Rattus norvegicus: one gene and its partners. The protein of the gene in region 2 binds, or shares a complex with, the protein of the main gene of each other region. Links are inferred from orthologs where the notes say so. Each region holds a gene or a part of one and is shown on either strand. Other genes may lie near its edges. The genes, in order: Zfp36, Cnot1, Cnot9, Ddx6, Cnot2 and Nanos1.

Region 1 (4,207 bases), on a different chromosome or scaffold from region 2:
CAGTGAGAAGCCTGGCAGAATCTCCCTATCTCGATACAAGTGCGCAACGCACCGTGCTAGAACTTCCCGGCATTGTAATTACACTCCTGGCAATGATAACCCCCATACACAAGAACAGTTTTTCACTGGAGATATCTTTGAAATAACACTTTTTACTTGGGTGTGGCAGCTATTTCTGTAATCCTAACACTACTTGGGTGGTGGAGACTGGAGGATCGCGAGTTCCAGGCCTGCTAAGGAGACCCGACCTAAAAACAAAACCCTTACAGACCTCGAGAGAGTTTAAAGTTTGCTTAAAGACTGCTTGCACTACAAGAAACCCATTCAACGTTGAAGGTGGCCCATATTTTTAATAGAGGCGAGCTTCCTCCCTAATAAAAGACTCAAGCTGTTACAGCCTTGAGCTTCGGAAGCAAAACCTCTTAATTTAAAGTGCAGCTTGGGTAAATGGGCTCTGTCCAGCCTTGCTAGACTTGGAAGGGCGCTGCTGAGCGAAGTAAAGTTCTGAGCGGTCCCTACCTGAGCCAACTGTCTTACAGGTTCTGTGCCTTCAGGTTTTAGTTTTTATTTCAACTTCCCTTTTCATCCTTCTGTAACCGGCTTCCTCACTGAGATTTGTGTCCCAGGCCCCTCTCCCTATTGTCTCCCCACTCCGTATAGGTCAGAACCAGGATCACAACCATATGCCAGTCTTTTGTTTCATGTGTATTCCTGGCTGTCCTGGAACTCGCTCTGTAAACCAGGCTGGCCTCGAACTCACAGAGATCCCTCTGCTTCTTCCTCCCAAGTGCTGAGATTAAAAGTTTGAGCCAACATCTGGGGCCTTTTTACTTTTTAAGACAAGAGTCTCACTAAGTTACCTAGGCTGCCCTAGAACCCACAATACAGTCGAGCCAGGCCTTGAAGTCCCAGACTCCTGCCTCAGCCTCCCCAAGTGACTGGAATCACAATCCCAAACCAGCGGGTCCAGTGTGAATGTCTCTCACTGTCTCTTTGTTTTTCTCTCAGCTTCTGGCCATCTCTGTCTCTACCAGCTTGTTTCTCCCCGCCCCCGTCTGTCTCACACGCACACGCCCTCTCAGTCTCTGCCCTTGTCAATTGTCCCTAGAGCCCTGCCCCCACTTCTGCCCCAGTTCTCTTCCCGACTACCTTCAACCTCTGAAAACTAGTCAGACGCCCCACTCCCATCACCACCAAATCTGTGGTACACAGCCCTCCCCACTAACCTCGTGGGAGAGGGCTGTGGGAGAGCCAAGTTCAGGCACATTGTGCATGCTAACCAGCAGATGGGCGGAAGGGGCCTAGTACCAGGCCGGCCGGGCTACGCCGCGGGGGCGCGTCCGGGAAGCTCTCGTGGCCACGCCCCCGGGCCGCCCCATAAAAGGCGAAAGCTCCTGCGGCGGTCCCACAGCCTGACTTCTGCGAACCGACTGTCGGTCTCTTCTCCATGGCCATTCGCGCCACCATGGATCTCTCTGCCATCTACGAGGTGAGTACTGGTTAGACAGCACTCTCGGATCCTCGACGCACCAAACTTAGGCCCCGGACGCCTCCATTCCTTCTCAGACTAGCCCTAACTGGCTGGAAGTGAGAGAGGGAGCCCGTGAGCCCGGCGCCTCGGTCTAGATACCGGCGATCCCCTGGGGACGGAAAGCTGGCGCACTGCTGTCACTCGCGCAGGGCGGAAGCGGCCCCACACCTGTCTAGTACCCTTCGCTGTCCATGGCGCGGTTTGGCGGCCAGGCAGGTGTTGAAGTTGAGCGGGGAGTTGACCCGGTCAGAGTCCTAGAGAGATCTGGCCTCCTGGGTCAGCTTTGGCCGGCTTCTCTAAGTTGTGAAACGAGCGCCCGATGGGCGGTCTTATCCGGGGAGGTCTAAAGGCCCAAAATTGGCGAGCAGCCGTGGTGCTTTGATTTGGGGGTACCCTCTCTCGATCCATCGGGGATACTGGGCTCCCTAGATCCTTCTGGATTAGCTTCAGTCATTTGTTAACACCCAAACCTCTGTAGTCAGGTTCTCCCTGAAATTTGTGAGCCGGGTGGGGCTCAGGCTGAGAACCCACAAACCGGAATGACAAGCTCGTGAAGTGCTTTACCACAGGGGCGGGGCGTCGTCACCTTACCTTTTCTGGTGGCCTAACCGAACCCTATTCTCCTTAGAGCCTTATGTCGATGAGCCATGACCTGTCACCCGACCACGGAGGAACTGAGTCCTCCGGAGGACTTTGGAACATAAACTCATCGGACTCCATCCCATCTGGGGTCACCTCTCGCCTGACTGGCCGCTCCACTAGCCTGGTGGAGGGCCGAAGCTGCAGCTGGGTACCCCCACCCCCTGGTTTCGCACCCTTGGCTCCCCGCCCGGGCCCTGAGCTGTCACCCTCACCTACTTCGCCTACTGCAACTCCCACCACCTCCTCTCGATACAAGACTGAGCTCTGTCGGACCTACTCAGAGAGCGGGCGTTGTCGCTATGGGGCCAAGTGCCAGTTTGCCCACGGCCCGGGTGAACTGCGCCAAGCCAATCGCCACCCCAAGTACAAAACGGAACTCTGCCACAAGTTCTACCTCCAGGGCCGCTGCCCCTACGGCTCTCGATGCCACTTCATCCACAACCCTACCGAGGACCTGGCTCTCCCTGGCCAGCCCCATGTGCTCCGACAAAGCATCAGCTTCTCAGGCTTGCCTTCAGGCCGCAGAACCTCACCACCACCTCCAGGCTTCTCTGGCCCTTCCCTGTCCTCTTGCTCCTTTTCGCCTTCCAGCTCCCCACCACCGCCTGGGGACCTTCCACTTTCCCCTTCTGCCTTCTCTGCTGCCCCTGGGACCCCTGTGTCTCGAAGAGACCCTACCCCAGCCTGTTGTCCCTCCTGCCGAAGGTCTACTACCCCTAGCACCATCTGGGGGCCCTTGGGTGGTCTGGCTCGGAGCCCATCTGCACACTCTCTGGGATCCGACCCTGATGATTACGCCAGCAGCGGCAGCAGCCTGGGTGGGTCAGACTCGCCTGTCTTTGAGGCCGGGGTGTTTGGGCCTCCTCAGCCCCCTGCACCCCCAAGGCGTCTTCCCATCTTCAATCGCATCTCTGTCTCTGAGTGACAAGTGCCTGCCCAGTGTGGATCAGCTAGATCTCAAAGAAGAGGGAGGGAACTGCTCGTTGCTGTGGGGACCTGGGGGGACTCCTCTAAGTCCCTCCTCCTGGACATTCCAAGTTGCATTAACCCATTCCCCTGGTGCTGGGCTAGGGCAGGTCCCTAGTTTGCAAATTCAGTGTTTGGGTGGATCCGTTCCTAGGGTACCTGAGATGTAGCATGTTTGAGGGGTACAGTTGACAGTTGATCTTCCAGGTCTCAAGTCTTATGTTGTTTCTGAGATAGGGGATTATTACGGTACCCCAGGCTGGCTTTGAACTCAATATAATCCTGCCTTAGCCTTTTCCAAGTTCTGGGGTTACAGGTATGCACCAGCCCCTCGGAAACTCTGGTCTCCTGGAATCTTAAGTGCTGTGAAGAGCCGGCTCCCACAATACTATCCTAATTTTTACTAGACCCCGAAGTTCAGTGTCCGGTGGTTGTAGCCTCTCCTGAGAATCCTGGTGCTCAAATTTCCCTCCCAAAGCAAATAGCCAAAGCCATTGCCAAATCCCTTTTCCCCCACGCCCCTGCCCCAACCAATGGACCCTTTATTTATGACGACTTTATTTATTGTAATAAGATTTTATAGTATTTATATATATTGGGTCGTCTACTCCGTTTTTCTTTTTGTAATGTTAAAACTGATACTGTATTAAGTATATACTATAATATATTAAGTAATATATTGTTACCGTACAAGTCTATTTTTGTGGGTTTTTTTGGAATTTTTAAATAAAATCTTGAGTGTGAACTGTGATGAAATTTGTTTTTTTCCGTGGTCCACAGCCTTGTGATGGTGGGTAAACTGACCTCCAGACCTTCCTGTGAGCACTGCTGCCGGGGGGGGGGGGGGGGGGGGGGGGCGCTTACCTGGCAGGAAGTGACGTTAGCCCGGTTGTTCACCTGAGGAGGCGTGGCGGGATGAGGTCACCCAAAAGGAACAAGGAGAGCTAGTTCTCTTGGCTAAGGGGTGCTCCAGGCCTGTCCCTCCGGCTCTTGACCCAGCTCGGGCAGGGACAGGATGTTTCCGTCCCCACAGGGCCAAGGAAGGAGGGAGGGGTGGGGCGGGGCGGC
Region 2 (3,500 bases):
GCTTCACACCTTAATCCCATCACTGGGAGGACAGGGGTAAGCAAATCTCTTGAAATCAAGTCAGATTAGGGCTACATAGGGATAGTTTGCTCCACCACCCCCCCCCCACACACACACACACTCCCACCCTCCCAGAAGGAAGACAGACAGACAGACAGACAGTATTTTAGTTATTAAGAGATTACATGTTGTGGTTTTACTGTTTAGGTAGGGATGATTGATGTAACATTAGGTGAACCCCATGCCAGTCTTCCGACTGAGCTCTGAAAGTAAAGTGTCAGTCACTGTTGTTGGTTCTGCTTAAATTTGCTTGCAGTTATAGTTCTTCTGTTTTATATTAAGAGTCTTACTGATATACAAAACACAGTGTAGTATGTTTATGCTGAGGTTCAATCAAATGTAGCTTGACATAAATTTAGAAATTTTTAAAGGGTTTAAGGAATTTTATTTACAGATATCTGAGACTGCTTTTTTCCCCCAAAGATTTACTTACTTAATGTGTGTGAGTACACATTTGTTGTCTTCAGACACACCAGGGCATCAGATCCATTACAGATGATTGTGAGCCGCCATATGGAAGAGCAGTCAGTGCTCTTAACCGCTGGGCCATTTCTCCAGCTCACCCTGAGACTGCACTGGCCTTTTTCTTTTCTTTTCTTTTCTTTTCTTTTTGCAGGCTAGTTTAAAGGACTTTAACATACTAGTTTATCTTTATTGGTCTTCAGTATCCTCTTAAGTATTGCCCATGTCAGGGAAGGATTAATAGAAAACTAAAATTATTCTTACCCTTTCATAAAACAGAATTCTTGATTTCTATTAAGATGCCTTTGTATGTTTCCCTCTGTGCCCATGTAGTACATCGAATATGGACAACAGTCTCGAGATCCTCCTGTGAAAATGCAGGGCTCTATCACTACCCCTGGAAGTATTGCACTGGCTCAGGCCCAGGCCCAGGCCCAGGTTCCAGCAAAAGCCCCTCTTGCGGGTCAGGTTAACACAATGGTGACCACCTCAACAACCACCACTGTTGCTAAAACGGTTACAGTCACCAAGCCAACAGGAGTCAGCTTTAAGAAAGATGTGCCAGTAAGTAGCAGGTCCTTTTGCTTTCCCAGGATCTGTTGGTGTGAATAGGTAGTAGGGAATTTGTGTGTTATTTTACTGGAAGCATAAAGGTCAGCATTGTCCCAGAGAGCACTATGTAATGTAATAATTCAGGGATGGATTTAATGATCTTACCAGTGTAGTTATATACCCTGTTCATTTTTCATGCTAATGGAATCTCTGTAATCTTTTTTAAATGTTTTATTACCTTTCTATCTTGTTTATTTTGTGTGCATGTGTCCTATGATGCGTATCTGGAGGTCAGAGGTCTTAGGAGTTAGTCCTCTCCTTCTGGCATCTGGGTGCCAGGAATTGAACACAAGCTGGGCTTGGAGTCCAGTGCTCTCCTCTTCTGAGCACTTGCAGCACTTCTGTCTTCTAGGATTTCCCAGTCACACCTCAGCTGCTCTAACAGTGCATTATTACTTCCAGCCTTCCATAAACACAACGAATATCGATACACTGCTTGTGGCCACAGATCAAACTGAGAGGATTGTGGAGCCCCCAGAGAATATTCAAGAGAAAATTGCTTTTATTTTCAACAATCTCTCACAGTCAAATATGACACAAAAGGTAAGCATGATGTAATAGCTTATGAAATGCTCTCTTCTTTTCCTTGATGGATGGAGGGATTGGTTTTTGTTTTGTTTTGAATTCAGTTAAGTCAGTTGGTTTGTTCTGTCTATAGTCCAAGCTCCTGAGGAGGCTGAAGTAAGCATAAGGAGCTGGTGGCTTTTCTATCACGTAGCTATCACTGCAGAGCCTGTCTAGAAACTAAAGCCAATAAACTCAGGTTAAAAGGTATGATTTTAGCTGGGTGTGGTGGCACATGACTTTAAAAACATTTTTTAAGGTTTTTTTTTTTTTTTTGTAGGAATTAAACAGTATCCTTTGTTGTAGTATTGTTTTGCAGTGACTTGTAACCTTTTGAAATAATGTCATGCTCTCCTGAGAAGGGAAGTGTTATTTTTTTCCTTCCTTCCTTTCTTTGAAACAAGGTCTCATTAACTAGCCTTGGCCAACCTGGAACTCACTATGTTAACTTGGATGGCCTCTAGATTCTGTCTGCCTCCCAAGTGCTGGGATTTAAAGGTATGCACCACCATGCCTAACTTTGGTAGAAAGTTTTGTTTATGTTCTTCCAGAATCTACTATAATTGCTTATTAGGCCCTGTGAGCACATGAAGTAGAGGTTTAGAAAGCATAAGGAATGATGCTTCCCTGCTAAGGTACTGCTTTGACATGACAGTGGGTTTCAGGCTGAGCTTGCTGACACAGGGAAATAGAGGCAAGAGGATTTCTGTGAGTTTGAGGCTAGCCTGGTCTATATTGTGAGTTCCAAGCCACCTAGGGCTACATAGACAAACCCTGCCTCAAACAAAAAAAAGGTAAGTAGGTTTGATCTGTAACGTTAACCTGCTGGGCTTTGGTGTAAGTTTGTAATAGCAGCACTTGTGAGGCTGAGGGAAAGTTTTGAAGAGTTTGGGCGAGGTCAGCCTGTGCTATTGCATAGGAAACCTTGCCTTTAAAAGAAGAGCCCACACCCACTGTTAAATCTGACGGTTGTTTGTTGTTGAAGTGTCATGGGAAAGGCCAAGCCTAACAGTTTAATACCATGTTTTGTAAGAAGCCAGATGCTGTGTGCTATGAGAACCCAGACCTCATTTTATCTGTTGTTTACATTTTTTTTTAATACTAATTCTCTACTACTTTGTCGTGTTTATTGGCTAGGTTGAAGAGCTTAAAGAAACTGTGAAGGAAGAATTTATGCCTTGGGTTTCCCAGTATCTAGTTATGAAAAGAGTCAGTATTGAGCCAAACTTTCATAGCTTGTATTCAAACTTTCTTGATACATTGAAGAATCCTGAATTTAACAAGATGGTTCTGAATGAAACCTACAGAAACATTAAAGTAAGAGTTCTTATATTTCCTTTAGTAATTAGCTTTAAAGTTGATCTTGTAGGAAGATTTGATGTTTCTCTTTATGTCTATGTTCGATGTGTCCATGAAAAGTGCCTTAGATTTTTGTTTGCAATGTTAACTACTGGGTTCCATAAACATTTTAAAATTATATTTGTGTGAGTGTCTGCACACTCATACATGTGTGTGCGCTCAGAGGACAGTTTTTTAAAGTCACTTTTCAATCTTCATGTATAGCTTCAGAGTTTTACTGTTACATATAACAATGTTCAGTATTTTTGTGGCATGCCATCTTGTTGACTTGTCATGTCTGTGTGCGTGTATGCGTGGGTATGTCCAGGTGCAATAAGTTCTCGGGTCTCTATCCTGGTTTTTTTGTTTGTTTGTTTGTTTGTTTGTTGTTTTTTTTTTAAGGGTCTTACAGAAAACTCAGGTCTCTATCCTGGTTTTTAAGAAAATGGTCTTACAGAAAACTC
Region 3 (3,500 bases), on a different chromosome or scaffold from region 2:
TAATGGTCAAACAGGTTGAGTCACTTCGCATCAAATATATGTGTTTAATGAGGCTCCTATAATTTACAAATATACATGTTTATAAAGCACTACTAAAGGATAAGACTTGATTAAGTTGTACTAAGTTGACATTTGTTTTCTTGTTTTCCCCTAAAGCCTGTGCCTACTGCACTGGCCCAGGTGGACAGAGAGAAGATCTATCAGTGGATCAATGAACTGTCCAGTCCTGAAACAAGGGAAAATGCTTTGCTGGAGCTGAGCAAGAAGCGAGAGTCTGTCCCTGACCTTGCGCCCATGCTGTGGCATTCATTCGGTACTATTGCAGCACTTTTACAGGTGGGTCTGTAGCCACAGTAGGAATTCAGTCATGTCTGCCACACTGGGTTTTTTTTTTTTTTTTTTTTTTTTTTTTTTTTTTTTTTTTTTTTTTTTTGGTTCTTTTTTTCGGAGCTGGGGACCGAACCCAGGACCTTGTGCTTCCTAGGTAAGCGCTCTACCACTGAGCTAAATCCCCAGCCCCCCACTGGGGTTTTTCTATTCTTGTGCTCAAATGATTTTTGAAGACTTGAGAATGGTTGTTTGAATATTAACATTTGTAGGATCCTATTTTTAAGAAGTCAGAGGTATTTGTTAAATGCATTTGGGGGTTCTCCCTAGGAGATTGAATTTAGTTGATCTGAGAGGCAGACCTTAAATGTGTGTTTAACAGGTGAAATCTAAGAGCTACATTGAGAAATGGCTTTTAGAAATACATTGGGGTAGATCTGTTATAGCTGGGAAGGATATAGAAATAGTATGAGAACCGTAGATAATGGTCTAAGGGAGAAAATTGTTGAGATTAAGGTGTGGTAGCTATAGGATTAAAGATGTGTTTGTGTGTGCATTAAAGAATAAATAGATGCATCTGGTAAGGTGGTTCATTTACCTGCTGCCAAGCCAGACAATTTGAGTTTAATCTCTGGGTACAAGGAGAGATATGAATCTAAAGTTTCTCCTCAAATTATTAATAATCTTTCAAGTTTGTTTGGTAAATTCATATTGCTATTCCTAACACATGTAGCCAAGAATCTATTAGTGTTATGAAAGGATTTGCAGCTAAAATAAACAGAACTATATTCAACATGGGTCTCATTATAAAGTAGAATGCAAGGGGGGTGGATGGGGAGGGGAATACCCTTATAGAAGAAGGGGAAAGGGAGGGGACTGGGGGCTTATCCAGGAAACCATGAAAGGGAATAACATTTGAAATGTAAATTAAAAAATATCCAATAAAAGAAAGCTTTTGAATAGGAAAAAAAATGAAGTAGAATGCAACTTCTTAAAATTACAAAAATAAGGGTCCCTCAATTGGCTATAGGTTCTGGAGAGATGGTTCAATGCAATGGTAAAAAACACTGGCTACTCTTCCACAAGTCCTGGACTTTGATTCCCAGCGCCTACATTGTGGTTTACAACCAACTTTAACTCTAGTTCCTAGGAATCTGATACCCTCTCTCTGGTCACAGACACACATGCAGGCAAAACACCAACATACATGAAGACTAACTGCAAAGTGTAGGGGGAGTATGGGAGACCCAGTATTCCTAGAGACACATAGGAAAAGGTCTTGCCTATTTAGTTTAGCACGCTCGTAATGGAAAAATAATTTCATTTCTGCAGGAATTAAAGATACTTTGCTGTGACACTGGTAATTTGTGATTAATTGCTGTCTGGGATTCTTTGCATTTTTCAGGAAATTGTAAATATTTATCCATCTATCAACCCTCCAACCTTGACAGCACACCAATCTAACAGGGTTTGCAATGCTCTAGCATTGCTACAGTGTGTGGCCTCACACCCAGAGACCAGGTAAATGCTTTGTGAGCGTGTTGGTAAATTAATGGGGGTGGGTGAGTATTTTATAGGAACTTATATATCTTTGCTAAATGATCAGAGAAAGAAGACACAATGTAATGTATGGATTTCAGTCTTCAGAACTTTTTTTTTTTTTTTTTTTTTTTTACTCATTCATGGCAATGACTTTTTTTACAGTTTTTAGTGTGTTGGATATTTTTAATATACTTTCTATATGTCTCTTGGCTTTTTTTGTTTGTAATGTTTTATCAGTTGGCTTTGGAGTTGGTAGGTATTAGTGGGGAAGGTTGCTTGATTTCTTTTGTTTTCTTTTTCTTTTTGGGGGGGGGGGGTGTTTGAGACAGGGTTCTCTGTGAAGCCCTGGCTGTCATGTATCTTACTCTGTAGACCAGGCTGGCTTTGAACTCACAGAGATACTCCTGCCGCTGCTGCGGCCCCACCCCCTACCCCAACACTGTCTTTGGCCTTAAACTGTTAATCCTTCCACCTCTGTCTCCTGCCTGCTGGGATTATAGGCATGTACCACCATGCATACCCACCTTTTTCTTGTTTTTCTGACTGTTGACATTAAGTCTGATAGCTGTTTTTAGTTTCTGGTTACAGATTTGAATTAAATATGACATGTTTTAAAATGAAGCAAAATACAATTCCATACCTTTAACAACATAGAACAGTTTGCTAATTTAGTGATTTGCTATGTTCTGAGAGGAAAGATTTTGCTTAACTACCTTAAAGAATATTTTCTGTCAGTGATTTAACCCCAAATATAAAACTAGAGCTTTAATCCTCCCATGGTTGTCTATCTTTTTTTTTTTTTTTTTTTTTGGTTCTTTTTTTTCGGAGCTGGGGACCGAACCCAGGGCCTTGCGCTTCCTAGCCCATGGTTCTCTATACTTAGAATTCCAGTGCTCAGGAGGCTAAGATGGGAGGCCCTGTCCCAAAAAAACAAAATTAAGTGATTATTTTATGTTTACTTAAATCAGTCATCTTATGGCAGCAAAGTTTTAAAGAACAAAGGTTATATCACAGGAAAGATAATATATGATAGGTACATGGGCACTTCTCTTTTCTAAATCATGGTAGGCACTGGGTCACAATTGTTTCATGGTACATATAATAGGAACTCGGTAAATATTTTTAAGCACTCTTTCTCACAAAATTCACATTTGTGAAAATTTTTTCTAAAGCTTTTTTGTTTATGTTTGTTTGAAACAAGGTGTCACTATATAGCTCTGGCTGTCTGGGGACCCTAGCTTGTCTCAAATTCACTAATATCCACCCGCCTGTGCTTCCCCAGAGCTGGGATTAAAGGTGTGTACCATTACACCTTTCTTAAGTCCTTCTTAGTTTAGAATTCCAGGCAGCCTCTGTGATATAAATGGGAATTGACATGCAAGGTAAAACTTTTTTGCTATATTGTCATATGTGAAAAGGTAGAGAAAATCCTGTTTAAGAATCTGCTTTGAGACCAATGAGATGGGTCATCGAGTAAAGAAGCTTGCCTCTAGGGCTGGAGAGATGGCTCAGCGGTTAAGAGCACCCGACTGCTCTTCCAGAGGTCATGAGTTCAATTCCCAGGGACCACATGGTGGCTCACAACCATCTGTAAAGAGATCCGATGCCCTCTTCTGGTGTATCTGAAGACA
Region 4 (3,500 bases), on a different chromosome or scaffold from region 2:
ATTTACTATGTGGCCATTTTCTATTTCTAACAAAAATGTCTTTGTTTGAGGACTGTTTAACCCTTTGAGATTCTTTTCTCTAGTACATGCACTTTTATTTATTTGAGGCAGGGTCTTTTCTCTAGTAGTCCTGGCTACCAAGACCAGGCTGGCCTTGAACTCTAATTTACCTGGTTAAAGATGTGTATCACCACACCAACACCCAGCTCACTAACTTTTCTGTTACGCTGCTATTCAGCTAATGTTTTTCTGTTAACAGTTTTAACAAACTTTTAGTTCAAAATGGTATTAATGCTTACTGGTCCTGCTAATCCACTTGGGTCTTTGCCATTCATGCAAGATACATACATACTACACTTCAAAGGAGTACCAAGGTGGGTGGTATTCTTCGGTGTAACTTGGAAAAGAATCTGGTAACATTGTATTTACATGTAGTTTTGCATCACCTTGTCTTTTAGGAGGAGAGCATTCCCATTGCTTTATCTGGTAGGGATATCTTAGCTAGAGCAAAAAATGGAACAGGCAAAAGCGGTGCCTACCTCATCCCCTTACTTGAACGGCTGGACCTGAAGAAGGACAATATTCAAGGTTAGCTGAATAGAGGGGAGGGGCTGCAGGGAAGACTGTCTGTACTTGGAGCTTTGTAGGTTTTAATCTTGGTCAGAATTCATTTAATCTACTGTCTTCTTGCTATATTTGGCTTAATTGTTTAAAAAATTTTTCCCCAGCTTTTAAAGGGAATTTCTCAACTTCAGAGTACTTTTTTTTTATGATTGATAAAACAGTTGAAAAAGGGTTCGTGTGAGATAAGCAAAGTAAGCTTTCTTTAAAGCCAAACTGATGAGAGGCTAAATGAGTCACTGCTTACCTCCAGCCTATGCACCTGAATTCCCTTGTGGGAACTGTGTAAGCAGAGCTCTTTGTAGAAACAGTAAATGCTTCTGTCTGTAAACCCTTGAGTTTATCAAATTTTAAGAGCTCAGAGTTCCTCCTCTGTGTAGTAAATGTCTTGGTCAGCCGAGCCTACCAGGAGAACTCCAGAGGCAGAGTAAATCAGGACTATGGGGAAGCGGCCTGTCACTGGCAAGGGCCTGGCCCCCATGTAAGCCACAGCTAGAGTTGGGGGAAAAATTAACAGCTTAGAGAGTAGAAAAGAAGCAAAGTTCTATAGTTGTATCTGGAGTCAGTTCATACAATTAAGGTTTTGCCTCTAAAGTTTTTCTTAAATTTTCCAGTTTTCCATTTATAAATCTCTCTCCTCTCATTGATGAGCATAGAACCTAAGCAGCACGCGTTGACTGCTTAGTATTTAGTGACTCTGAGAGAGTAGTGACCCTTCTGTCAAGCACATGCATCCTTTAAGACTGGTGTGTTATGTCTGTTATGCCCGTGTGTTAGGTGAACTGCCTCAGTGAAACTGTTTTTATAGCTTCTTGAACTTCTAAAAGATAGCATGTTCTCTCTTCCCTCACTCCTTTGTTCTTTGATATTTTTTAGCAATGGTGATTGTTCCCACTAGAGAACTTGCTCTACAGGTCAGTCAAATTTGCATCCAGGTCAGCAAACACATGGGAGGGGCCAAAGTGATGGCGACCACTGGAGGAACCAATTTACGGGATGACATAATGAGGCTTGACGATACAGGTAGGAGATTATTAAGGCCACAAGGCTGTCTGATTGTAGCTACAGATGCCTCCTTATTTCTTTTTCAGACTTATTTGTAATTATGTAGAGGTGGGGTATGTGGTTATGCACACCTGTGTGCAAGTGCCTGGGTGAGGGTGTGGATCCCCTGAGGCTAGAGTTATAGGCAGCTGTGCACCACAACGTAGGTGCTGGGGATTGAACTTGAATTCTCTGCAGGAGCAGCACGAGATGAGCTCTTTTTTTTTTTTTTTTTCCGGAGCTGGGGACCTAACCCAGGGCCTTGCGCTTCCTAGGTAAGCGCTCTACCACTGAGCTAAATCCCCAGCCCCTACGAGATGAGCTCTTAACCATTAAGTCTTTTCTCCAGTCTCCAAGGGTTCCCTTTTAGGAAATAATTAAAACTTTGGTCTGTTTTGTTTGTTTTGTTTTTTGAGACTGGGTTTCTCTGAGTAGCCCTGGCTGTCTTAGAATTTGCTTTGTGAACCAGGCTGGCTTTGGGAACCTGCCTCTGCCTCCCAAGTGCTGGGATAAAAAGCATGTGCTACCACTGTCTGGCACTAAAATATGGTTTTGTTTTGTTTTTTGTTTTTAAAGATGTATTTATTTATTATATATAAATACACTGTAGCTGTCTTCAGACACACCAGAAGAGGGCATCCAATCTCATTACAGATGGTTATGAGCCACCATGTGGTTGCTGGGGATTGAACTCAGGACCTCTGGAAGAACAGTCAGTGCCCTTAACCACTGAGCCATCTCTCCAGCCCCTGAGCTCTATTTTTTAACTTGCACAATTTTGTTTTTAGTGATCAGTCTTTTTTTCCCCCTTAAAACAGTCTGTGGGGTTGGGGATTTAGCTCAGTGGTAGAGCGCTTGCTAGGCCTGGGTTGGGTCCCCAGCTCTGAAAAAAAAGAAAAAAACCAGTCTGAGCAGCCTGGCCCAGATTGAACACACGTCTCCCCTGCGTTCTGGCTGTTACTTCTTGCAGATGGCTGTAAGATGGGAGTTGTGAGTCCCTCAGTTGGAGTTTGTGGTTTGGGAAGCTGGCCCACTCACTGAAGAGACGAGACAAGTATTGTGGAGCTCTTGTGAGAAGAGACAGAAATACACGGCCCACAGTTCATCTTTGTGCCTTTTTGTATTAATTTGGGTCTCTATAAACAGTATTTATGATACTAAATACGTCTTATAAAATTAATGTGTTTCTTTATCCTAGATTAAATTAACAAGAATGTATATGTTTTCTGAAGTTTTTTTTTCTCTGGGAATCTTTTTAGTGCATGTGGTGATTGCTACCCCTGGCAGAATCCTGGATCTTATCAAGAAAGGAGTAGCAAAGGTTGATCATGTCCAGATGATAGTATTGGATGAGGTAATGTTTGTTCATTTGAAAGGACTCTTCAGTACTCCTCTAGCTTTGCTTATAATTTTCACTGAATAAAGCAAACCTTGAACTGGATATGTATGATAACAAATAACCAAGCCAAGCTCAGTTTAAATCTTTCTACTTAGTGTTACATTTTAAAAGCTTGTAAGGGATCTCTCTTAACCCTTTGTTTTGCATTTGCTTCCTAATATTGGTTGGTTCTTTGTGTTTTTTATGAAATTTGTTACTTCTTTAGTTTATAACCTAGTATCAATGCCTTTTAAAAAATTACTGATCTGAAGCCAAATGTTTTACCTGGGATGTAGAGTCAGATGTCTGTCTTGAGTTTGAGAGCTGCAAGTTTCAGGCCAATCAGAACTACACAGTGAGACTCTGCCTTAAAAATGAACAAAAACTACTCATGTGTGTCTGGGATGTAGCAGTGCTGTGTACAGTTAGCCTGGCAGCATTGGTGCTTCGGTGTGCG
Region 5 (4,300 bases), on a different chromosome or scaffold from region 2:
AATGTTAGGTCATTCATTGAATGCTTTCCTAGCATTCCAGTTCCACATATTAATTTGCTCCACACATTAATTAAGAAAATGTTATCTCACCTAGTAAAACCCAATCATAGTAAAACTCAGACCTTCTCCACTGAAAGCAATTTTTAAAACTTGGACAAAAATGTGTTAAGTTAATATAGGTAAGAAGAGTAATGAATTCAAATATTTAATGTTATTTAATGTGATAATGCTACTATATACACATAAAGGGCTCCAAATAATTAGTAGCCAGATTAAGGTGCTCTGTATTACATGCATTCATACACAAGAACTGTACGTGCCTAGAGGTATACTCAGTCTTTGAACACACTACCTTACAGCAGTAGATGTTAACTTGAGAGGAAGAGAAAGCAGAAGAGATAGGAAAGCACTCTTGGGGGAGGGGCCATATAGGACTGTGTAGTTCCTTCTTGAATTTCCCTGAAGTAAAACCAAAACAAAACACAAAAGGGTAAAATGGAGTATTTAATGAAAAACCCAGCAAAATAAACCTTTTCTATTTGGCTATACCAGTTCCTGTTGATATTTAAACAAATTTACATATCTACTGTTATGCATATTTGCTGATAAACCAAAATACCTTCAAAACCTTGACAAAAGTACTTTTAATTTCATCTTGGGTTTTATCTTCCTTTTTCTGGCCTTCAACTATGATAAACCGAAGTGATATATATTGGTTGATTGGGGTGGGGGATGGGGCTGGAAGAAGGTAATTTTAAAAAAATAAAACAGCAGAAATTTTATTTACTTCAAATTAGTAGTAATCCACATTAATAAGTTCTACCACTCAAACAGGAATAGCAATGCGTTATGAAACTAGTAACTTCAAAACACACAGAGGCTTTTTTCGCAAGTTTAGTAACCATAAAACACGAAGTTTATGGATGTTCAAAGGAGTAAAGTAAGAGTATTACAGCAATGAAAACGAATTTTACTTTCAGGGATTGCACTGTTTTGGAGAACAAAACCCTGGAAGTTCCCACCACAGCCACCGTATTTTCAAAAGGTTTAGTGGATGAGCCAGCTGATCACTAAGGTTTACAAAGGGCGCGCCGGGCGGGAACTAAGTAAAATGCCATAAACATCGGACGGTTAGATTAAGCCCTCCCCGTGGTGCTTTAAAAACACGTTCCCCTTACTTCCTCTCACCAGGTTTGAACCGAAAAAACATATGAAAAGGAAGAGGGGGGGCGGCGATCAGACGCCCAGGTTCCAGCGGAGGGGAACTCACTGCTCAGGGGGGTGCCGGCGGCGTGCGGCGGGTGTTTGGGGGTGCGCACCCGGGAAGCGCAGGCTGCGGAACGACGATTGGACCTGAGTACCGCTGCCACTGCGCCGGCAGGTAGTAGTAGCACTAGCCCGGGGACAGACTGCAGGAGGTGCTCGGGGGCGGGGTGTCCGACGAAAACACAAACACAAACACGCTGTGCGTCCCCAGGTGGGCGGACCCACGCTGCCTCAGCATTTCCCCGCCCCCGCCCCCGAGGCCGCTCTCGGACCCCAGGCCGCAGCTCCTGGTGTGGCGGTCTGGCTTGGGAAGCCCGGCGAGGCCTCGGAGGCCCCACTTTCCGTAATCGCCACAAGGCAGCGCCGCACCTCCGCGGGAGGTGGCGGGACGCCTGGCGGAAGCCCGGGAAGGCTCCTGAGGAGCGCCGTGCTTCTCACCGTCGACCGGCGTTCGGGAAACACTCTGTCCTTGAGGCGAGCATCGCTCGCCACCTTCTGCCGCCGCCTTAGAGCGAAGTCGGAGCGACGGGGGTCACGGCGGGGGTCAGAGGGTAAAGGTCTTGCTCCCAGCAGCCTCCGCGGTGGATACGTCGCCATCTTGGATCCGCGGGACAAGAAAATTCATGCGGTGAGTTTTTGGCAAATTTTCGGAAGTCTGGCAGCGGGGCGCGCGGCGGGGGAGGCGGATTGAGGGCCCCCTCAAGGCGGGGGAATGCCTCGGGGCTGGTCCGGTCGCGCCCGGGGTCCGCGGGTAGCGTCCCGGCCCGCCGCTTCCCGTTGCTTTTGTCTCGGCTCCAATCGAGAGAGGGAGAGCGGAGCGGGCGGGGAGGGGGGTGGCGGCGCTGGAGGAGGGAGGGGGTGTGTGGCGGGGTGGACAAGACGTAAAGCGTCGCCGTGCTCGGGCCGCCGCCGCCGCCGCCGCCGCCGCCGCAGCCGCTGCAGCTCCGGAGCCTAGGCCCGGTCCTGGCTGCCCGCGACGGGGCTTTCCCGGTACTCCGCTTCCCCGGCTCCCGCCGGCGCGGAGCAGCCACTGCCGCCGTGCTGCTTCCTGGGGTAGGAGAGAAGGCGGCAGCGGCAGCGGCAGCATCCGAGGAGCCCCGGCCGCTTTAGACGGCTCTGCCACGTTCCCAGCAGCTGCTGGTCCTTGAATCTTCCCATTCTGGCAATACACGCGCATCCTCCGCCACTTGTGTGTTTTTGTTTGTGTAAGATGGGGACATCGCACTGGCTAACGGGCCTCAGGAGCCTCCAGGCCCTGAGATACCGAAGGGCCTTGCAAGGTAGAGGGAGGAGAGCAACTTAAGATGCTGCTTCTGCCACCGTACCCGGAGAGGGAAGCTTCTCTTGTGGTGTAGACTTGAGTTCGGATGGTCCTGGGGCAGCGGAGGAGGAACCGGAGACACTCTGAAGTTGCAAGCCCTGGTTTCTACTTCCGCCGGGCCCTCTCTACCTTTTGCTGTTTTAGGTCTTCACTTCAAAGTTTCATAGAAGAAATAAGTTGGGTTAAAAGAAACCCGATAGTTCTTAATTGAGGTACTGTTTGCTTAGGAGAAAGCTTAGAATCCTTGTTATCTGTAGGCCCTTAGGGGAATCTAATTGTACTTTTCTTTTCGTAAAATTATTTCTAAGGTTTTGTTTTTTGCATTTACTTTAGACCCCATTAGTATGTTATTACTTCCAAAAATATCTTACACACTTTCTTGGAAATCCTAGGGGACATCTCCACTTTTCAGCATCTGGAAAAACAAGTGTTAAGAGTGTTTTGCTTCATTTTCATTAAATTCTTAGCCAAGAATTTCTCTTTAATCATCTGGACAGTTCCTAATAAAATATAGCAATATGATCCTTAGATTCTTGGCGAATGGTAGAAAGTATGATACTGAGTTAACCAAATCTGTTCACAAGGGAGACATTTGATGTTCAAAAACACATTTTTCTATTATTCTCCATAGTGAGAAATTTTAAGGAGATGGAATTGTGTTCTTATAGATTTCCCTTTCCAAACAAATAAGTGAGGGTAATTTATATGGAGCGAGTGGGATAGAAATTTAAACTTTCACAACAGTTTATGTTTGGAAATGCTTGGCATATTCAACACAGTTCCTTCTCAAAAGTCACCTTTGTAGTTTTATAAGGTATTTTATTCCAAGTTGGAAGTGTTGTTTAAAAATCCAGTACACTGAAATGACTGTCTACATTCACATATTGTCTGTGTTGAGGTTTTGTGTCTTTGATATGTTTTCTTAATGATCCAAGATCATTAACAAGGATCCTTATGCTCTCCTATCTAGTCTGTTGTTATCTTAAAGCTAAAGGAAAAGTTCAAAATGCACAATTTCTTTTACTTTTCACTTTTACTGACTTTGCAGGATCCTTATTTTTAAAATGGAACCTTTTCATTTTTTAAAAAGTGACTTTTTTCTAAGTATTTTATAACTCTAGACCAGAAATAAAAACTGTATTTAGCTTTTTTTTCTTTGCATTCCTGTTAATGCTTTACTAATATACAGAAGTTAAGGTAGTGCATGTGTTGACAGAGCACTTGGGTTCTAAGATACAGTCTAGAGATATCTGTAACCCTACCAGATGCTAGAGGCTGAGAGTCATCTGCACATCAGTAAATGCAGCCTTTGGAAAATTCTGTTTCTAAAGTGCTTTAAAATAAATTTGTTTGGTGGAAAATGAAGCAGATTGATGTCTGTGAGTGGTTTTTATCCCAGCCATCTGAGAACTCTTTGATTTGAAAATGAAATCAAGCTCCAAATGATATGCTCCCTAAAATAATAATCACCTTTATTTTCCCTATATAAAGGTGGGTGCTTTTTGGTTTTTCAGAGATGCCTTAGATTTATTAAAACTTCAAAAATAAATATTTTATACTGCTGGTAAATTAGAAATACCAGTAATCCTTCTCTGCTCATTTCTTTTCTTTTTTTTTTTTTTTCCCCCCGGAGCTGGGGACTGAACCCAGGGCCTTGCGCTTGCTAGGCAAGCTCTCTACCATTGAGCTTAATCCCCAACCCTTGCTCATTTC
Region 6 (4,207 bases), on a different chromosome or scaffold from region 2:
TAGTTCCGGCAAAATGCCAAAAATTCAAAGTTGCTATTAGGTACACATGATAGTTGTTCAGCTCATGTACTTATATACTGGCACCACACACACACACACACACACCTTGGGAAACATCTGGTGGGATTACAGCAATCCTGGCTTGATACCTACTGCTTTTGATATCGAGAATACCTTTTTGAACAGGCAGATCAGTTAGAGGATGTGAATTTATGTTGACTTGAAAAACTTCACCCCAAAACAAACTGTATATTTTCTAGCAAAACAAGGAACATGGTTTTATTAAATTTAGGCCCAGGCCCATTGACTGTGGGGCTATAACAGGGATAGATTTCTTCCTTGCTAAGAATGTCCTCCCTTTTACCAGTAGGTAGTATTTTCACATGACTTCTTTTATACAGAAAGTAAGTTTGCTGTGAAGTTGCTGCTTAATATGAAAGGCAGTCTAGCCTGACTTGTATTCCTAGCTAAATTTGACTATTGCAAGCTTTAATCTTTTGACTGGTATTTGCAGAGAGTGGTGTTGGTGCATGTCTGAATTTATGTTAACTCACCCTCACCTTTTCTGTCTAGATGGTAAGTGGCTTTGTGCCACATCCCAGCACTCAGGATGATAGATTTACAGGAGAACAAAGGGTTAGGAACTTTTGCATGAAGATCTTTTAGTATTCTGGAAGCAGACTAGGATCTCTCAGTAATAGTGGAACCACCAAGAGGGGAGATTATGATACTTGTATCCAACTGCAATTGTTACAGCATCGAAGTATTTATTCTGGTACACCCTCTGTAAATTGGAAGGCAAACAGCCCAGAGTAGAACTTTCTAGAACTCGAGTTATTGCATTATAGTTCCCCATTTTCTATTTAGGAACCCTGAACTTGAGCAATCAAGGTGGGTTAACACTGCTCTAAAAGGTTTCCTCCTTTCTGAGGAGGGCACGCCTTAGCATCAGAATTGGACCTTTGGGGTGGTGCATAGAGAAAATGCTAAGTAGGAGTTACAGGGGAGATTAATGGATTCATAATACTGTCACTGTATAAATACACGTCTCTTAAACAGCACCATTTCCAAATATGTACACGATATGATTAAGCCTTGGCACAGTTAATTTTAAGGGTTGGAAGGACTACTTGCTAATTCAGTAGAATAGCTGATACATAAAATGATAAGGAACTGTATTCTACCTGCTACAGATTGTGCCTTTAAGCCTCCCATCTAGGACAGAAACAAGCCACGAGGAGGAACATCCTCTCAATATTGGGAAGTGTACTAAGTTGCTTTACCTGCAATTAGAATGAGAAACTAAAATAAATTAATTGCATCAAACAATAAAATAGTCATTTTGCCGACATTCCATACAATTGTTTTACACTCAGTTCAGAGGCTATTAAAAATACTCTAGACCTAATAAAGTGCCTCCATTCATAAAACGAAAACATCCAAGATCAGAGACAATTCATACGGATGCGCACCTAAAATAGGCTGACGTATACAGTAAACAGCGCCTCATTCACCGCACTTCAGCCAGTGGAACAACCGCTCAGCCCTCACCACTCTGGATGCGCGTTTTAGAAACTAGGGACAAAATCCAATATTTCAACGTCAGAGACCTATCACTCCACAAGAAAGTGCTATGCCCCTGCGGCTTCCATAAAACCAAGAGGACTTCCCAAGTTGAGCCACGGGAGAAGAGTCCAGGTTTCAGGTGTACGCAGCTCGATGCAGCCTGCTTCTAGCGCAGCTTCTTGCTTGGCAGGTTGTCTCTGGTGCTGCGCGGCGGCGGGCGGACGGTGGGCGGTGGCACTTTGGAGAGTGGGCAATACTTGATGGTGTGTGCGTTGTCGCCACTGGCGCCGCACAGGGGGCACGTGTAGCGGCGCAGGACCGGGCACAGCACCCGGCCGTCCGGGCCCTTAAGGATGTGTGTGGTGTAGAGCGCCACCGCCTCCTTGTTGTTCCGGCAGAACACACACACCTGAAGCTCCGGTTTCAGCAGACGCGCGGCGGTCGCCCCGGAGGTCGCGTGCAGACGAGGCTCGGCTGCCCACGCAGGGCTCGGCTCTTCGCGCGGCGTCACTTCGGCCGTGGAGGCGGCGGAGGCAGAGGGCGCGCAGCCCAGCAGCACCGCGGCGGCGCGCCCTGCAAATGGGTTCAGCTCAGCGAAGCGCTCCTCCAGCAGCCCGGCCTCGGCTGGGCCGGCGCACAGCTCTAGCGCGCGCAGTTCCAACGCGCCGCCCAGGTAGCGGCCCCCGGCCTCTGGCTCATCGCCGTCGTCGTCTTCATCGTCCTCCGGCGGCCCCAGTGTGGGCCCGGCCGGCGTGGGCCCGGGCCCCTCGTGCGGGGAGCCGCGGTCGCTAGCCCTGGTGATGAGCGTGGCTAGCCCCAGGTAGTCGTTCCAGTAGCTGAAGGGCTGCGGGTGCACCGGGCCCGAGGCGCTCACGTAGCGGGCGCTGGGCACGAGCGCCATAGGCGCGGGGGCGCGGGCGCGGCGGGGCGAGCGTGGCGCCCAAGGGAAAGCCTCCATGGGCCGGCAGCGGGCCGCGCGCCTCCCCGCCGCCGCCGGCAAGGGCCGGACGGAAGGGACGCAGGAGCCTGCCCGCCGGCCTGCCGCGGGGTGGGGCACCCTTGCTTCCTTTTATCGCTCCCGCTTTCTCCCGTGCCCCTCCTCGCTGTCTCGGCCCTGCCCCCTGCGATCCTCCGCCCGGGCCACTGCGCCCGCGCCCCCGGACGGAGGCGGAGCGGAGGCGGGCGCGCGCTCTTCTCCAGCCCCGCGCGCTTCCTGCGCCCCGCGCGCTGCGCCCACCTCACCAGCTGCGGGGCGCCTGGCATCCTGCGAGGGGGCGGGTGAGGCGCCGCCTCGGGCCCTGGCGCTCAATGGCTACCGACCTGACTCCGCGGGCGCCGGTCGGGACGCTGATTGGTGGCTATCCGGGAAGGGGCGGGCGGTGCTTGCGGGGAGGGGATGGCTGTGCAGAAAGGGGCTGGATGAGGCGGTGGCTGGTGCTTGATTTTGCACGAGCGTGGAGACCTCAACTGGTGACCCAGCTTGTTTGTTTGTTTTTGTTTTTGTTTTTGTTTTCCTGCGGGATATTGAGGATGCGGATGGCACAGATCGCGATGAGGCCACTGGGATGCGTGCATCCACTTGCAGCTTTGGCTGGACCGGGTTTATGGTCTGAAGCCACCACGTTCCCCTTGCTTTTTATCATCATCAGCAAGAAAAGCTGTGAGAGGCAAGGCTAGGCGCTAATTCCCAACGCTAGCCCAGCTAGAGACCCAGTGACTTCAGTTGGCATAGCGCTCTGGCGCTCTTTCCACAGGGTGAAGTCCTCCTATAAACCTTGAGGCTCAGGGAGGAAGCTCATGATTTTTATTGTTTATATGGTAGCGAATAGTGGAGGATCACAGCAAGTCCAACAGGTAGGTGTTCAGAAACTGGGGCCGTAGAGGTGACAACTTGGACCAGAAATTCTTACTATGTGTCAGTTTGTGTGAAATTCCTCTTCCGGGTGCTTATATGGAAATCCAGTGTCTGTGGAACTTGAAAAACAGCATATTCAGTGCTTTGAAACAGGTAAAATTTTCTCTTTTTGGTAAAACCCTGGAAAATAAAGGACTTATTAGGAGATTAAGAGGTAGTCTTGTCCTTTCTAGAAAAGAGGCAACTTAAATGATAAGCACCAACAACCTCAAAAAGCAATTTGAAACTAGGAAAAGGCGCTGAGGGCTCTTCAGGAATGTGACCTAGAATGAGGAACAGAAAATGCCTTCTCTTTGTTTGCTCGGCAGAGGAGAGAGCTGATTTTGCACAAGGTGATAGGACCTCTGATGCTATCAGCTTTCCTTAGGTGGTAAACCACATTCACATGTTTTGGCTTAGATTTTTTTTACAAACATACTTTTTTTTTAAGATTTATTTATTTATTATATAGAGGGCATCAGATCCCATTACAGATGGTTGTGAGCCACCATGTGGTTGCTGGGATTTGAACTCAGGACCTTGGGAAGAGCAGTCAGTGCTCTTAACCACTGAGCCATCTCTCCAGCCGCACAAACCTACTTTTAATAAGGGTCCTTTAACACATCAAGCTCCCTTATAGCCGACCAAAGGTAAGGGAGGAAGAAAGGTTAATAGGACAAAGAGGGTCATGGGCCTGTTCAGAAGTAATTCTTTGGGGGTGATTTCAATCTTTGGGATATCAGCAGT

Evidence for each region.
Region 1: the proteins of Cnot1 (region 2) and Zfp36 are in contact, whole or in part, in a crystal structure (PDB 4J8S), measured with the Homo sapiens proteins. The link is inferred for Rattus norvegicus from reciprocal best matches to the Homo sapiens genes CNOT1 and ZFP36. Residues at the interface, in NP_057368.3 of Homo sapiens: Gln821, Glu835, Asp845, Ala848, Asn849, Phe852, Gln853, Tyr856, Asn894, Glu897, Glu898, Phe901, Gln904, Tyr905, Pro906, Glu909; in NP_003398.3 of Homo sapiens: Arg314, Arg315, Leu316, Pro317, Ile318, Phe319, Arg321, Ile322, Ser323, Val324, Ser325.
Region 3: the proteins of Cnot1 (region 2) and Cnot9 are in contact, whole or in part, in a crystal structure (PDB 4CRU), measured with the Homo sapiens proteins. The link is inferred for Rattus norvegicus from reciprocal best matches to the Homo sapiens genes CNOT1 and CNOT9. Residues at the interface, in NP_057368.3 of Homo sapiens: Ile1415, Ala1416, Thr1418, Thr1419, Gln1422, Ile1423, Lys1426, Asp1427, Phe1428, Met1444, Asn1447, Leu1448, Gly1451, Met1452, Met1454, Ile1455, Arg1458, Glu1459, Tyr1548, Gln1549, Arg1552, Met1553, Pro1554, Gln1556, Ile1557, Leu1559, Val1564, Lys1567, Gln1568, Leu1569; in NP_005435.1 of Homo sapiens: Arg19, Glu20, Tyr23, Ile26, Asn27, Ser30, Ser31, Pro32, Arg35, Pro54, Met55, Trp57, His58, Ser59, Phe60, Gly61, Ile63, Ala64, Ala65, Leu67, Gln68, Val71, Asn72, Tyr74, Pro75, Ser76, Ile77, Asn78, Pro79, Thr81.
Region 4: the proteins of Cnot1 (region 2) and Ddx6 are in contact, whole or in part, in a crystal structure (PDB 4CRW), measured with the Homo sapiens proteins. The link is inferred for Rattus norvegicus from reciprocal best matches to the Homo sapiens genes CNOT1 and DDX6. Residues at the interface, in NP_057368.3 of Homo sapiens: Glu1097, Ala1100, Phe1101, Phe1103, Asn1104, Asn1105, Leu1106, Ser1107, Ser1109, Asn1110, Lys1114, Lys1137, Arg1138, Ile1141, Glu1142, Asn1144, Phe1145, Leu1148, Tyr1149; in NP_001244120.1 of Homo sapiens: Phe329, Ser330, Arg331, Leu332, Gln333, Ile334, Asn335, Gln336, Leu357, Gly358, Tyr359, Ser360, Leu384, Arg386, Asn387, Ala402.
Region 5: the proteins of Cnot1 (region 2) and Cnot2 are in contact, whole or in part, in a crystal structure (PDB 5FU7), measured with the Homo sapiens proteins. The link is inferred for Rattus norvegicus from reciprocal best matches to the Homo sapiens genes CNOT1 and CNOT2. Residues at the interface, in NP_057368.3 of Homo sapiens: His1864, Ser1865, Ala1866, Ala1867, Arg1870, Asp1871, Gln1917, Pro1921, Ala1923, Pro1925, Ala2003, Tyr2036, Leu2039, Glu2040, Ser2043, Arg2045, Ile2048, Ala2049, Ala2053, His2054, Leu2079, Leu2084, Lys2086, Gln2089, Ile2090, Leu2091, Tyr2092, Lys2093, Gly2094, Leu2096; in NP_001186231.1 of Homo sapiens: Met350, Val351, Asp353, Gln354, Phe355, Gly356, Met357, Ile358, Gly359, Leu360, Leu361, Phe363, Ile364, Arg365, Gly372, Met373, Val374, Leu376, Ala377, Leu378, Gly379, Ser380, Asp381, Leu382, Leu385, Leu387, Asn388, Leu389, Ser391, Glu393.
Region 6: the proteins of Cnot1 (region 2) and Nanos1 are in contact, whole or in part, in a crystal structure (PDB 4CQO), measured with the Homo sapiens proteins. The link is inferred for Rattus norvegicus from reciprocal best matches to the Homo sapiens genes CNOT1 and NANOS1. Residues at the interface, in NP_057368.3 of Homo sapiens: Ile2327, Ile2330, Lys2331, Trp2338, Glu2350, Phe2353, Gln2354, Val2356, Ala2357, Met2361; in NP_955631.1 of Homo sapiens: Phe40, Ser41, Ser42, Trp43, Tyr46, Leu47, Leu49, Thr51.

Annotation. Positions count from the first base shown.
Region 1 is NC_086019.1:92,796,309-92,800,515, reverse strand, and holds Zfp36 (mRNA decay activator protein ZFP36), read left to right. Parts: upstream 1-1,407; 5' UTR 1,408-1,447; coding exon 1,448-1,489; intron 1,490-2,159; coding exon 2,160-3,098; 3' UTR 3,099-3,888; downstream 3,889-4,207. UniProt on the Homo sapiens protein: Zinc-finger RNA-binding protein that destabilizes several cytoplasmic AU-rich element (ARE)-containing mRNA transcripts by promoting their poly(A) tail removal or deadenylation, and hence provide a mechanism for attenuating protein synthesis.
Region 2 is NC_086037.1:9,316,794-9,320,293, forward strand, and holds part of Cnot1 (CCR4-NOT transcription complex subunit 1), read left to right. Parts: intron 1-855; coding exon 856-1,086; intron 1,087-1,536; coding exon 1,537-1,677; intron 1,678-2,835; coding exon 2,836-3,015; intron 3,016-3,500.
Region 3 is NC_086027.1:83,543,369-83,546,868, forward strand, and holds part of Cnot9 (CCR4-NOT transcription complex subunit 9), read left to right. Parts: intron 1-156; coding exon 157-336; intron 337-1,732; coding exon 1,733-1,848; intron 1,849-3,500. UniProt on the Homo sapiens protein: Component of the CCR4-NOT complex which is one of the major cellular mRNA deadenylases and is linked to various cellular processes including bulk mRNA degradation, miRNA-mediated repression, translational repression during translational initiation and general transcription regulation.
Region 4 is NC_086026.1:53,845,749-53,849,248, forward strand, and holds part of Ddx6 (probable ATP-dependent RNA helicase DDX6), read left to right. Parts: intron 1-458; coding exon 459-588; intron 589-1,497; coding exon 1,498-1,644; intron 1,645-2,924; coding exon 2,925-3,019; intron 3,020-3,500.
Region 5 is NC_086025.1:54,105,161-54,109,460, reverse strand, and holds the start of Cnot2 (CCR4-NOT transcription complex subunit 2), read left to right. Parts: upstream 1-1,500; 5' UTR 1,501-1,889; coding exon of another isoform or gene 1,890-1,894; intron 1,895-2,148; exon of another isoform or gene 2,149-2,799; intron 2,800-4,300. UniProt on the Homo sapiens protein: Component of the CCR4-NOT complex which is one of the major cellular mRNA deadenylases and is linked to various cellular processes including bulk mRNA degradation, miRNA-mediated repression, translational repression during translational initiation and general transcription regulation.
Region 6 is NC_086019.1:269,882,306-269,886,512, reverse strand, and holds the start of Nanos1 (nanos homolog 1), read right to left. Parts: upstream 2,801-4,207; 5' UTR 2,525-2,800; coding exon 1,733-2,524; 3' UTR 1-1,732. UniProt on the Homo sapiens protein: May act as a translational repressor which regulates translation of specific mRNAs by forming a complex with PUM2 that associates with the 3'-UTR of mRNA targets. Capable of interfering with the proadhesive and anti-invasive functions of E-cadherin.